Linked DNA regions of Drosophila melanogaster. The protein of the gene in region 1 interacts with the protein of each later gene in a pairwise test. Each region holds a gene or a part of one and is shown on either strand. Other genes may lie near its edges. The genes, in order: Su(var)2-10 and Uba2.

Region 1 (7,041 bases):
GTTGAAAATTGTTTAATCGTATAGTTAAAGTACACATCTCCTTGTACATTGATTTCATATTTGTTCGTTCAGATATTTAGGGGGTTTGCATCATGTCATAGTCAAAGCATTGTTCAATTTTAAATCTTAACATATAAATCCGTGGTGGTACGGTTTGAGCTTAAATACGCCAACAAAGGCCAGGGAGGTCATATAAACTGAGCGTCTAGCTGGACGACATACATAACATACATAATCCGTCGTTTCCAATCGATTTGCATTGATAAAAACGGCTTCGATTGCTTTCAATACTATGGACCTTTAATGCCATATGCCATTCCGCCCTGTCTTGCAACGTAACTTAAATGCGAGGACTGCAACACCCTCCAACTGCACACAGCACCGCCTCCAATCCGTACAGAATCCGTAGTTTAACTAAAATAACTTAACTACTTTAAATTTTGGTGCCGCGACTGGCCGCCGCCTGGCATGCATCCTTTCATTTCGCTTTCCTCATAGTGTTCATTGCGCTGACCGCTTCAATGGAAAATAAATTAATTGCGTTTCCTATAGTAATTGCTAATTAATGCTGGTGCTAGTTTGTGTATTTGCAATATCTAGGAATATTTCAGTTGCTGTGTGGTGTGGCGTGTGTTGCTGAGAGCGCTGGCAAAGCGTAACACAACTAACTACTCGAGACGACACGAATAAAAGACACGGGACGTAAGCAAAGTGTTTTGGTGTGAGCCAACTGAAAAAAGGGGCAGCAACAATCTGGCCGATGGGGGAGCACATGGATTCATTCGGGAACAGGGGACCCTCTCCTACAAAACCTGTCTGTTATGCCTGCGTCCTGCAACACAAGAATTACAAGCATCAGTTGGTGGCTCGCGATTGATAGAGTATGAATAATGAGGTGATGCAAGGCGGCGAATCGAACGCCGAAGAATAGCCTCTAAGGTAATATGTGGCCGTGCGCCACCGGAAGTGAAACCGAAAACAGAAACTGGACGGGCCAATATAGGGACCATAACAGTAAGAGACCGCGAGCCGCGAGATGTGCGATTAATGTGTGTGGGATGTGGGTCCTGCCTACGGGCCGGCATTCTGGCTCTGGCCGGAGGACGCCGTGGCAGCTGCAGCAGCCGCAACCGCAGCCAGATCCAACAGTTGGAAGTGCTTTTGATCCGCGACCGCAGCAGCCAGGGATTCCAGGAGGGAGGCATGGACGGCTGCCGTCGCTGGCTGCTCGTGCTGTTGCTGCTGCAGTTGCTGCTCTGAGACTGTCTGCTTCTCTGGCGATTGGCGGCTGGCCTGCTGTTCTGGGGATTCTACGAGTTGCATCGGCGGCAGCATGGACGGGTCACACAAAAAGATCAGGGGAAGAAGAGAAAGAGAGAGAGAGAAAGAAAAAAGACAAAGAAATGCACAAGTTACTTGAATTAGTTTAGTTATTATCATCATATAACCTTGGGTTTAGGTTAACACAACAACAATCGGAAAAGAGGCTCTCAACAAAAACCTTCACTAACAAACTGGCATGATTTATTAAAATTATCACTTAAAATAAGAGTACATATCGTGAAATAATTTAGATTCGGTGACAACAGAAAATACATTGAAAATGAATTAGGACAAATGGTGGTATAAAACCGAAAAATACTCTATTAACTTTGCTTAGCCGACGTTTGGGCGCCTTGAGCTCTCTGGCTTGGGTTTTCTGTAAGAATGTTCTGATTAAGTATGGGATTCTTGTTCCAAACCCGAACCATTTCACAATCGATCGACGGAAAACATACCGTGGGCGCAGCCAAACTCCTAAATGAACACGCTTGTAAAGCTCCTCCGCTTTCTGAGGTTTTTTAAAAACATTACCACCTACAATACAAGCAACGAAAGCGGATAGAGTCAATTTATAGCCTACTTAGTCTATACAAGTTTTGGCTAGGGGATTTTACGAAATCTACGGAAACCTTTTCGATGCTGGACTCCGTAGATCTAACACAAAATTATCATGATAAATAGCCCTTCTGGTCACTTTTTTGAAACATAAACATATGTTTGTACATACTACACGTAAAATTGGGTTAATTTTAACTGGGTGTACTCATACTAAAATCAAATGATGCACTAAAGTCATAAGCGGAATCGGGGACCTAATTATATTTGAATAACAATAAGTGATGATGAAGTCAGAATCATATGTAACATATATGTAATTTTCATTTTGGACAATGTGAATACTCTTTCGAACTTTTGCAGTTAAAATTTTCTAATATTATTTAAGACAATTGATGCACCAAAAAAATACTTTTACGTTAAATGATGTCCTAGAGGTGTGCCGTAAAAGGTGAACCGAAACCTAAATGCTTGATCTTGTTAGGATTTCATTCCTTTGTCTAAATTATTGGTGCCGAAGCGTGGTTGAGTCAGTGTGGATGTATGTAAATGGGATGTGTATGGATTCTTATAACTACTTTACCCTAGGGTCTACAATTAGCAATTTGTAAACATAAAGATTTCTTGGCTATACAGAGATATAATTCTCGTTACTGGCTTATTGCAAAAAGGGATCCAACGTACCGGATTGCTGGGGCTGCTGTGCCGGGGTATAGGCACGTTGGCCGCCACCGCTGCCGTTCGACGTGGAACTGGCGACGGCTTGCTTGGCGGGCGGACGACGCTTAGCCAGCGGCATGTCGTCGTCTGAATCGCTTAACGTTAGGTCAACCTGTTGCGCAGACAGAATACAGTCATATGATAAGACAGTTTGGTAGGTTGTAGATTGGTGCTCTCTACTTACAGTTTCACTGTTTGACGTTGATGTGGGCTGTTCGTCCTGTGCTGGGGACAAATCCCTCTTTACTGGCTTGGCGTCATCCGAGATAAGTTCTGGTAATGTCCGAAAAACTTGATTAATGTCAAAACAATTTAAAAGGTTGCGTGTTAGGCGATTACCTATGTCATCCGATATAACCTCAACCTTTTGGGCGGGCTTTGAAGGCGTATCAAGGATCTGCGTCTCGCTCCGTAGTCCTGGTGTGCTCCAAGATCCATCCTGATGAAGTTGAATCTCAGTATCATCACTCTTTAGAAGCGACGAGCCCAACACCTCCTGGAAGTAGCTGGAAAACAGAGTTTAATCAGTTACAAATATGCTAAATGAAATGACATTTCTTACCCATCTATGACCAGGTTGTCATAAATGGCCGGCTTGTCGCATACAGGGCAGTTCCACGTGGGCTTACGCTCATTCATTTGCAGGTAGAGACTGGCATCGAAGCATTGCAGATGCGAGCAGGTTGATGCTCGACAAGGCAGCAACATTTTCATCTTGCCCAACGGGCAGTTAAGGGAAACCTTCAGCATAGTGGTGGCTATTTCGCAGTCAGCATCCTCAGTCAGCTTCTCTTTGACTTTAAAAAAATGGTATTTATTATTAAGTTTGCATCATTGGAGCACAGAAAACTCACTTAAGCCTCGCGTGTAGTCCGCTGGTTTTACGCCCTTCGTCTTCATTCGCTGCAAAAGCTGTGTTGAGGTGAGCTTCTTTACCAGGTATACGGCCAGACAGTAGCTACGAGTGTAGTCCGGACACCACTGAACCGTTATGGTGTTGGTGACGGTAGGCGACAGCTTTACATTGGACGTGACATTAACGGGTCGCGGCGGACGCTTGGGCTCCACATTTGGTCGGTTTGTAGGAATGACATTCTGCATTGGAATAAAGAGCAGGATATTATACCAGGTCCTGATTGGATAATCGGATAATACTTACAGGCAGCTGACAGAGTTTGTTGTTCACTTTGACGTTTACGTTCGGCGGGAAGCAGTCCTCCTGGTCGCACGAAGTCTCCACCAGGCAAAAGCGCAGTTGAACCTGAATGGCGTGCTCCACCTTGGAGCTGTTGCGAATGTCGCGATTAGAGGCAATCTCGGTGGCCTGCTGCGGCGTGAGCGTGAAGTAGAAAGGCACCTCTTGGACGCGCTGAGTGTTGCGTGGCACCAGAGTTGAAGGCTTAATTAGCGTTCCGAGTACATCGTAGAAGGCTAGCTTTTTCAGCCGCACATCGGGGTGAATAGGCAGCTGGCTGTTGATGCTGTGTGTGTGGAGGAAGGGTGCGCCGCCGACCACATTCATCTGGCCGCCGGGCACTTGCACACCTTGGCCGCTGCCCACGAGGCCCACGGGATTGGGCTGCACGGTGGGCGGCAGCTGGATGTGCGAGTACATCCTGGTTGGGTCGATGTACTGCAGCGTGGCGTTTTGTTCCTGCACGGACTGGGCGTAGACTTCCTGGACCTTCGGGGCAAGCAGTTCCAAGTTGGTGCGCAAGAACGAGAGGATGCGGCTCTGCAGGTCAGTTTTTCGTCCAGCGAATGAGATGTTCAGAAACGACAGGATTTTTTGCAGCTCGACCACTCGAAGCATCTGCACCATTTGCTCACATTCCTGAAGAGACGGAAATGGCATGGCGAACAATGAAAATTTTGTATTTCGGAAAATTGGGAAGGTGTCTATGTCCAAATAGCGGGACTTAGCACCAAGCGTCCACACGAACACACACACAAGCGCGCTCTATATGCAAATATCGCGTTTTCGCACATATGTACACATGCGTATGCCTTGTGCGGCTTTATGCAGAAAAAATCATAAATTCGCTCTACATTATATGCCAAGTGATTGCTTGACAGTCGGACAAAAGCCTGGCTTCCACATTTTTCCCATCTGTGGATAATTTACTGGTCCGAAACTGCCGCATGCCACCAAATCATTACCTAGATGCTCAAACATGGCGTTCTCGCAAAAAGTTTCTTTTCGTGGAACCGATCGGGTTTCAGTGGCTTTTAACGTTGGTATATGCAGAAAATTTGGTAAGGCTTGTGTTCGCCACTGGCAGCCTTCCTTCTTTCGCAAATTGCACTTAAACAAACTACCGCAAAAATGCCCCCTTTTTTGTCACACGAATTTTGTTTTGTCCGCACGGTCTGAAGAAATATGGCGGATGATAGTGTTGTTAAGCGCCGGCGGATTTGGCTGGCAAATCACTCTGTTCGTGGGTGGGGAAGGGTACAGACACCATTTTTTTCTGCGGTCACACTGCTTATCAATAACCATGGCCCCCATATTTATGAAAAATTCTTTGGACTGAATAAACTGAGACTGGCGGAAACATACCTTGTACTTGGTGGAATCAAAGGGATTAACTGCTATTGGCGCTGACGAAGTCGACTGGTGCCCGGGGCTCGAAGATGTTGCGGCATTTTCCGCCTGCGTGCGAGCCGTCTGAGAGCGGGTCTTTCGCATCACTATTATTTTCTATTCACGGTGGCGTTAGGCGTTCGGCAATTGAAGTCGCGGACTCGTTTGCATTTGCCTGGGACGCGCACCACACATAAAAACAAGCAATTGCCGCTGTTTTTCAACGAATGCGGAGAAACAAAAATATTTTACGCGGCGTCGTCGCTGTGGGCCGACTAGAGTTGACACTATCGATCGACACTGCGGAAATCTCTACCGCCTGGCCGAGTCTTGTCTCACGCAGCCCGAAAATGCCCTAACGCGTGCGTTTGTTTACTTTGTTAGCAACCGTTACTTTCGTAGATTCCTAATTCGCTAGGCATTTATTTAATTGTACAAATATGGGTCTATCTATGCAAGAATAGTATAAAAGGGGCCCGCCGCTTGGCGTGGGCCTAGAAAAAGTCCATGTCCCCGCAATTGACGTCCAGAAAGTCGTGGTCGTAGCTGATTAAATCCTTCAGCGGCGCTCCCTGAGCCGCCGCCGCTGCTTTGGATGTGGAGGGAAGTTCCGCATTGTCCACAAGATTTATATTGATCTCGTGGGTCCTGTACTCAGGGCTGTCGTGCTCCTGCTCAGCGCCAACAGGGGAGGGTGGCGGGTTGGACACTGAAATAGTCAAAATAGTCACATAGGAGATTTAACAATAATAATGGGATCTTCTTACAGCTGCCCGGTTGCTTATCTTCACTTTGCTCGTCGCCCTGCATGTAGTACTCTTTGCGCTGATTTAACGTCGGCAGTTCCGTAACCTGCTTGCTGAGGCACTTCTTCAACTCTTCCACCTTACGGTCCCGCATCAACGTTTCGATCTGCTTTCGAGACTTGCTCAGACTCTGGCGATCCTCACTAAAAATGCGCTTCTGCTGCTCCTGAGTGATGTTATCGTGGTGCTTTATTAGGAACAGGAATACCCCGCCTGGTGTACGTCTCCGTATGCCGTTCTGTTTCGAGGTATCGTGTTAGTATATTCGGGGGAACATCCTTTACTACTTACTTTGATCATCATGCCGCCATCGGCTTCAATGCGCTGAGTTTCCTTGTATAGCTCTAGGCACACATCTATGCCAAGAACCTCCACGACTCGAACTGGTAAAACTGGCATTATTTACTAAGTAGGGCATTATTTATTTCACATACTCACCAAGTAATTCGTCCTTTTCCTCGTACAGTTTGCTGGCCATTTCGGTAGCCACATCCGAAGGATCTCTCTCACCCACTTCGTTTAAGTCCAGAATGTGTCTGGGCTCGCAGAAATCGGAAGATCCGCTGGCCGAAGATGTCCCACGACGTGACCGGTGACCCGTTCTACTCTTGACCAAACCGCGCTGTTGATTCCCGGTGATGGGCCGACTAGAAGGTCTTCCCCTCTTGTGAGCTGGATGGGAGCATTCGCCGCCGTCCTCCGAAGAGTTTGAGAGTCGTCGCTTTAGAGTGTTCTCGCCGTTCAGCCGGTATCGCAATGAGAAGTCGTAGTTTTCAACATTTCGATCCCGACCGCTTCGGGTAACGTCGCAGCCACGCATATTCTCGCTGAGCGCATCCTCTTGCAGGGCAGAAGCCCACACGTTGTACTTCTTGAAACGGGCTCGATTCGGTTGCATTTCAGCATCCGTGGGCGGAACGCGCCGCATTACCGTGCGCCGAATGCGCTTTTTCCGCTTCTTGTGGCCGTCGGGTCCGGTGGATTCCGTACGAAGCTTCTTGATGCACCCGTCCTCGGAGGATTCGGCAGTCGAGGAGTCGCTGTTGCTTTGTG
Region 2 (5,081 bases), on another chromosome or scaffold:
CTGATACAGTGTTAGGAAACGTATCACGGACTACTTGGATTATTTTTCTTTTATTTATTTATGAACATATTTAAAGAAATGCTTTTATTAATGCCTAATTAGGTCTAATAGCCGCGCTCCTTGGATTGGGTGGCGTGCGTCAGGATCCACGACTTGTAGTCGCGCTTCTTCATCGACATCTGCTTGTGGCGTGGATGCGTGGGGCAGATGACATAACCGCGCTCCTGGCGCACCACGATGTAGCAGTCCTTGCAGCGTCGCTTCAGGCGTCCCTTGACCTTGAATCCCGCCACCTGCTGGACCAAAGTGGAGCCAGGCGTCAGCAGACCCGACGTCTGACAGATTCCAGTTGTGGCGGCCACAAGTTGCGAGCTTTGAATTGATACAATTGCAGGAGCCGCCGGCCGGGTGAGAAGGTGGAAACCACGCGCGGCACTGAGACCATTCCACAAGCGGGAACCTTGTTGCAGTATTCTACTAGCCAGGGACATCTGAAATTTGCATTTTCATTGAGATTTACAATGAAAATTTGTAGAACAGCTCACCTTTTTCTGTTTTGGATTGAACTGGTCAGAAACCGATAACAGGCACAATGACTTCCAGTGCTTCGCAGCACTGGTTGGCGTTAAAAAGTTATCGAATTAAAAATTTGACTAATTTTAAATGTTATTTTATATTTCTTTTATTTAATAAAATTACATTTCTCGCACTGGATTATTTGAATTTAATCGAGTAGAGCAAAACCAAACCCGTTCAAAGCACAAAAATTTAAAAATTTTATCATCCACAAAAATGTGTTTTTATTTTAAATCAGAATGAAATTACAGGGAATCAAGAGCATAATTTAGTGCGCAGTTGAGAACTTATTCGAATAAAAACTTCTTTTTTTTATTAATCGATACTGATGACTGCCACGGGGTTCGAATCGTCCAGGCGGGAACGTTTGCACTTGGTTGGTCCCGCGGGTTCGTCGTCAGACGACTCCAAAATCTCGGTGATATCCTCATCCTCGATTACTTCACATGGCTTGCGCTTGGAGCCCGATTTTGGGGGACTCTGCACAGAGAGCTTGTCTGTGGCCACGACAACAACATCTGCTTGGTCTTCGTCTTCCTCGATTACCAGACAGTCATCGTCATCTTCCTCAACCACTTCGTTGGGCCGGCTGCGCTTCGAAGTGGAGGGTCCATCGTCCTTTGAGTCTCCTTCCCCGTTGGTAGAACGCTTCTTAGCCGATTTCGGTTCATCCTCCTTGTCTTTCACGGCCTCCTTCTGATCCTCATCCTTTGGCTTCAGCTGTGAGGCATCTGCTACGACTTCGAACAAGTTTTCATCGCGCTCCGCATCGAAGTGGGAAATGATAATACTCAACTCGTAGTTCTGGAAGAAGTCGTCGCACTTGAGGATCACACCATCCACAATGTTTAATTCGCTTAGGAGCTTGCCGTCATTGCATTCGGTCTCGCCCTCCTCTGAGGAGATTAAAATGGAGCCATTGCTCTGCACAGTCACATCCGGATTCAACATGTTGAGCGTCTTAACCAGGACCTCGTCACGCAGCTCCTTTATACGCATGCGCTTCGTATCGATCTTGAGAGTAATGGCCGGATCGCTGGCGCATACATGGCAATTGGGATTGGGGCCAGGAAGAGAAGCGTCCGGTACAAGGAAGTGATTTCGTGCATTTGGTCTAAGTCGGGCATAGACGGCCTTGCACTGCTCCCACTTGGCCTCCAGCACTTTGAAAGCCCGCATCACGGAAATTCCCGCCGTAATCGCATTTGTGGTGGCAATAGCAGGAATAATGTTTCCCGCCATTGACTTAATCTCGAACCTTGACTTTCGCTCAATGTCGAAAATGTGGGATCGCACGTTGGCGCAGGCCGCCACGAAATCCATGGCTGGCTGGTCGTCCTTGTCCCAAGCCAGAGTATCGTCGCCTTCGAGTTTCAGGAAGTTAGCGCTCAACTCTTTTAATGAATTGGCAAAGACCTGAGCGCACTCCTCGATGGACCACACCTTGTGATGCTGCTTGGCCACATCCTTCTGATCACCGGAGGATCCTTCGGGCAGCAGGGTATCCCACTGCACGGGCACGGGTGCCTTGCGGGTCTTCCACAAATTCGACATACGCAACAAATAGGTAATGTCCTCGTTAAAGAACTTGTTGAACAGCTTGCCCGCATCATAGTTGCAGTCCTTGGCCCATTGGCGAGTATTAATGCGCATTATGTTGCCGTTGGCAGTATCCTCCTTGGCCTCCTTTTCCTCTTTTGACTCTTCGCCTTTTTCCTTCCCATCGCCTTTGGGCTCGCCATTTCCATCGCCGCCGTCTTTTTCTTTTGCATCGGGATCAGCAGCATCAGGAGAAATATCCTCATCTTCCAAGGACTCACCAAACAGTTGACTGCAAATAAATCAATAGATTTGCTGCAATTTAGACTAATTATTAGGTATACTCACTTAAAGAGATGCTTGGCCCAGACAATGCAGTGAATCGGTTCGGAGGGCGTATTGCGTATGGTGCAGCCCGGGAAGCTTCGCTGTTTGTCTTTTGGAGTGCACTCGTAGCACTGGGTGAGTCCACGCTTGATCAGTTCCACCTGGCCATTGTAGCCGGCGGTGCCGCTCTCGATCAGCGGGACATCCGCATTGAGGCACATGCGATTTACATGATTCCTGGCGGCCCTGTTGTCCAAGGCGCTGAGCACCAAATCGAACTTCTTAAAGAAGTTGACGCCATAATCAGTACTAAAAGGTATGTGTTGTTAGCAAGATGTAAAGGCAAAGCTATCCCAACTTACGATGTTACACTGTCGTGGTAAGCGGTTATCTTAGCGTCCGGATTGAAGCTCAGTGCGCTTTCCCTAGCCACCCGTGCCTTAGATTTTCCAACGTGCTCGCGATGGAATAGGAACTGTCGGTTCAAGTTGCTAAGATCAATTGTGTCCAGATCGATCTGGGTAACGTTTATAAATTAATAATATGGAATACTTTTTTCGAAAAAACTTACAATTTCGATGTCTGTAAAGCCGCTAAGCACAAGGTTTTTGAGCACCTCGCAGCCGATTCCGCCGGCGCCCACGACCAGCACCTTGGACTTCTTTACCAGCTCCTGCAATGTGGGTGGGAAAACACCATTGATAGCTGCTGCCATTTTCTGAATTTACGTTTTCCTTTTTCTTATTTTTGGCGAGAAAATTGCAAAATTGCGATACGGAAAAGCCGAGAAAAGTGACGCCGCCGGTGCAGGTGTTGGGAAACGTATAAAGCTACGGATATTCTCTACCAGGGATGGCTGATATGGGTGACTCTTATTATCACTTAAATTAACTTTTCTAGTATTATTAATATATTTTATTTTACATATTACGACAAAAGTCACCGTTAATTGCACAGAAAAAGAAAGTTCTTTTAAAAGACATCAAACATTTTCTGTCCGAAAAGTCAACTTGTAAAACCTAACAGCAATTGAGCATACTTGCCAACACTTTTGCTCCACCAGCCCACTTTGCGCAAGCTGGGCACACTGCATGCTGGGCTAATCAGAAATAGAGAAAAGCATTTTAATTCGGACGAAGTCGACATACGGATCACGCAGCACGGGTCACGGCAAACGGCAAACGCGGAGAGCGGAACACGGACGAGAACTGCTCAAGCGGAATCAATAGGAATCAATACATTGTGAATAGATCTGGCGAACATCGAATAATGGCCGAAGTGCGACGCAGGAAGGGCGAGGATGAGCCACTGGAGGACACGGCCATCTCCGGATCTGACGCAGCCAATAAGCGCAACTCCGCCGCCGACTCCTCGGACCATGTAAGTAGCAATGACTTGTATGTGGAGCAGCCGAGCGGCAGCTGTTCCGGACACCAATTTGCATAATTCTTGGAGCATAGAAAAGCCAATGTGTGTATACCAACAAATGTGTGTGGCTATGTGTTTTTGTTATTCTCTGACGCACAAGCAGGTGGGAGAAAGAAGAGAGAGCTCTCTCCTGGAGAAAATCCAATAACAAACACAAAACACACCACTAGCCAGCCAGCCTGCCTGCCACCCAACCACCCACCTGCTGTGTTGCAATATAGCGCCATTATGACCAGCAAATCCAATTAGATGGACTACGCCAATTAGGGAAGCACTGGGCCAAGAACCCAGAGCCGAAACCATTACCATGACCAGACTCCCTTTCTGGCTTGGACTTTTTTTGTTATTGCTGGGTGATAATGCCTCCTTATCAACCAAGCTATTTGGCAACAAAACACGCCACCCAAAAAAACCCGCAATTTTTCTCCCCACTTGGTTCCCCTCTCTATTTTATGTGCCTGTGTATTGGATAAACGAGTGATTCTGATTATGGGTATATAGGCACATACATACACGTATCATGGACTTTGCTCGGCGTCGTCCAATAGAAAGTATTTAAACCCTGCACTCCGGTCGTATCGAATCTGATAGGAAACCTACTTTGCAGTCCCAGCCAATGCAATCAATAAGTGAATTTTCCCTTTCCCTTGCTCCTCCTCCTGCCAGGTGGACTCCGAGGAAGAGAAGATTCCCGAGGAGAAGTTCGTCGACGAACTGGCCAAGAATCTGCCGCAGGGAACCGACAAAACGCCCGAGATATTGGACTCGGCCCTCAAGGATCTGCCGGATAGGTATGTGAAACAAATCCATATGCGTAGTTGGGATCTTTAAAGATCATGATGAATAGCTAAAGGTCGATTTGGAATTGATGATTCAAAAAATATTTTATTGAAGTGCGAATTTTATAAATCCGACAGAATGAGTATGAGTGCGTTCCAAAAATAATCCATATCCACAGCTGTCTACAGTTGGCGAGCAAATATTAAAAGTAAATATGTACAATTACAAACAATTATTTTTTGCGCATTCCACAGATGGAAGAACTGGGTGATTCGCGGCATCTTCACATGGATTATGATCTGCGGCTTCGCATTGATCATCTATGGTGGACCGCTGGCCTTGATGATCACGGTAGGTTTAATGGAATTCGCTTAAACGAGTCTTCAAATAATCGTTGTCCTACTTTCTCTTTGCAGACGTTACTGGTGCAG

The links.
Region 2: the proteins of Su(var)2-10 (region 1) and Uba2 interact in a two-hybrid assay, tested with the Drosophila melanogaster proteins (one study listed by BioGRID).

The regions. Positions count from the first base shown.
Region 1 is NT_033778.4:9,114,569-9,121,609, reverse strand, and holds Su(var)2-10 (suppressor of variegation 2-10), read right to left. Parts: upstream 5,489-7,041; 5' UTR 5,288-5,488; coding exon 5,159-5,287; intron 4,993-5,158; exon of another isoform or gene 4,454-4,992; coding exon of another isoform or gene 4,433-4,453; coding exon 3,758-4,432; intron 3,694-3,757; coding exon 3,453-3,693; intron 3,396-3,452; coding exon 3,161-3,395; intron 3,105-3,160; coding exon 2,938-3,104; intron 2,872-2,937; coding exon 2,783-2,871; intron 2,723-2,782; coding exon of another isoform or gene 2,711-2,722; coding exon 2,563-2,710; coding exon of another isoform or gene 2,537-2,562; exon of another isoform or gene 1,858-2,536; coding exon of another isoform or gene 1,779-1,857; exon of another isoform or gene 1,700-1,778; coding exon of another isoform or gene 1,657-1,699; exon of another isoform or gene 1,505-1,656; intron 1,311-1,504; coding exon 1,072-1,310; 3' UTR 833-1,071; coding exon of another isoform or gene 804-832; 3' UTR 794-803; downstream 1-793. Other genes in the region: Phax (phosphorylated adaptor for RNA export), read right to left, coding at 5,677-5,891, 5,950-6,226, 6,280-6,371, 6,427-7,041.
Region 2 is NT_037436.4:8,124,548-8,129,628, forward strand, and holds Uba2 (Ubiquitin-like activating enzyme 2), read right to left. Parts: upstream 3,272-5,081; 5' UTR 3,158-3,271; coding exon 3,014-3,157; intron 2,960-3,013; coding exon 2,805-2,959; intron 2,752-2,804; coding exon 2,464-2,751; intron 2,408-2,463; coding exon 892-2,407; 3' UTR 780-891; downstream 1-779. Other genes in the region: mRpL36 (mitochondrial ribosomal protein L36), read right to left, coding at 105-491; Cds (CDP-diacylglycerol synthase), read left to right, coding at 3,712-3,822, 4,537-4,661, 4,905-5,001, 5,067-5,081.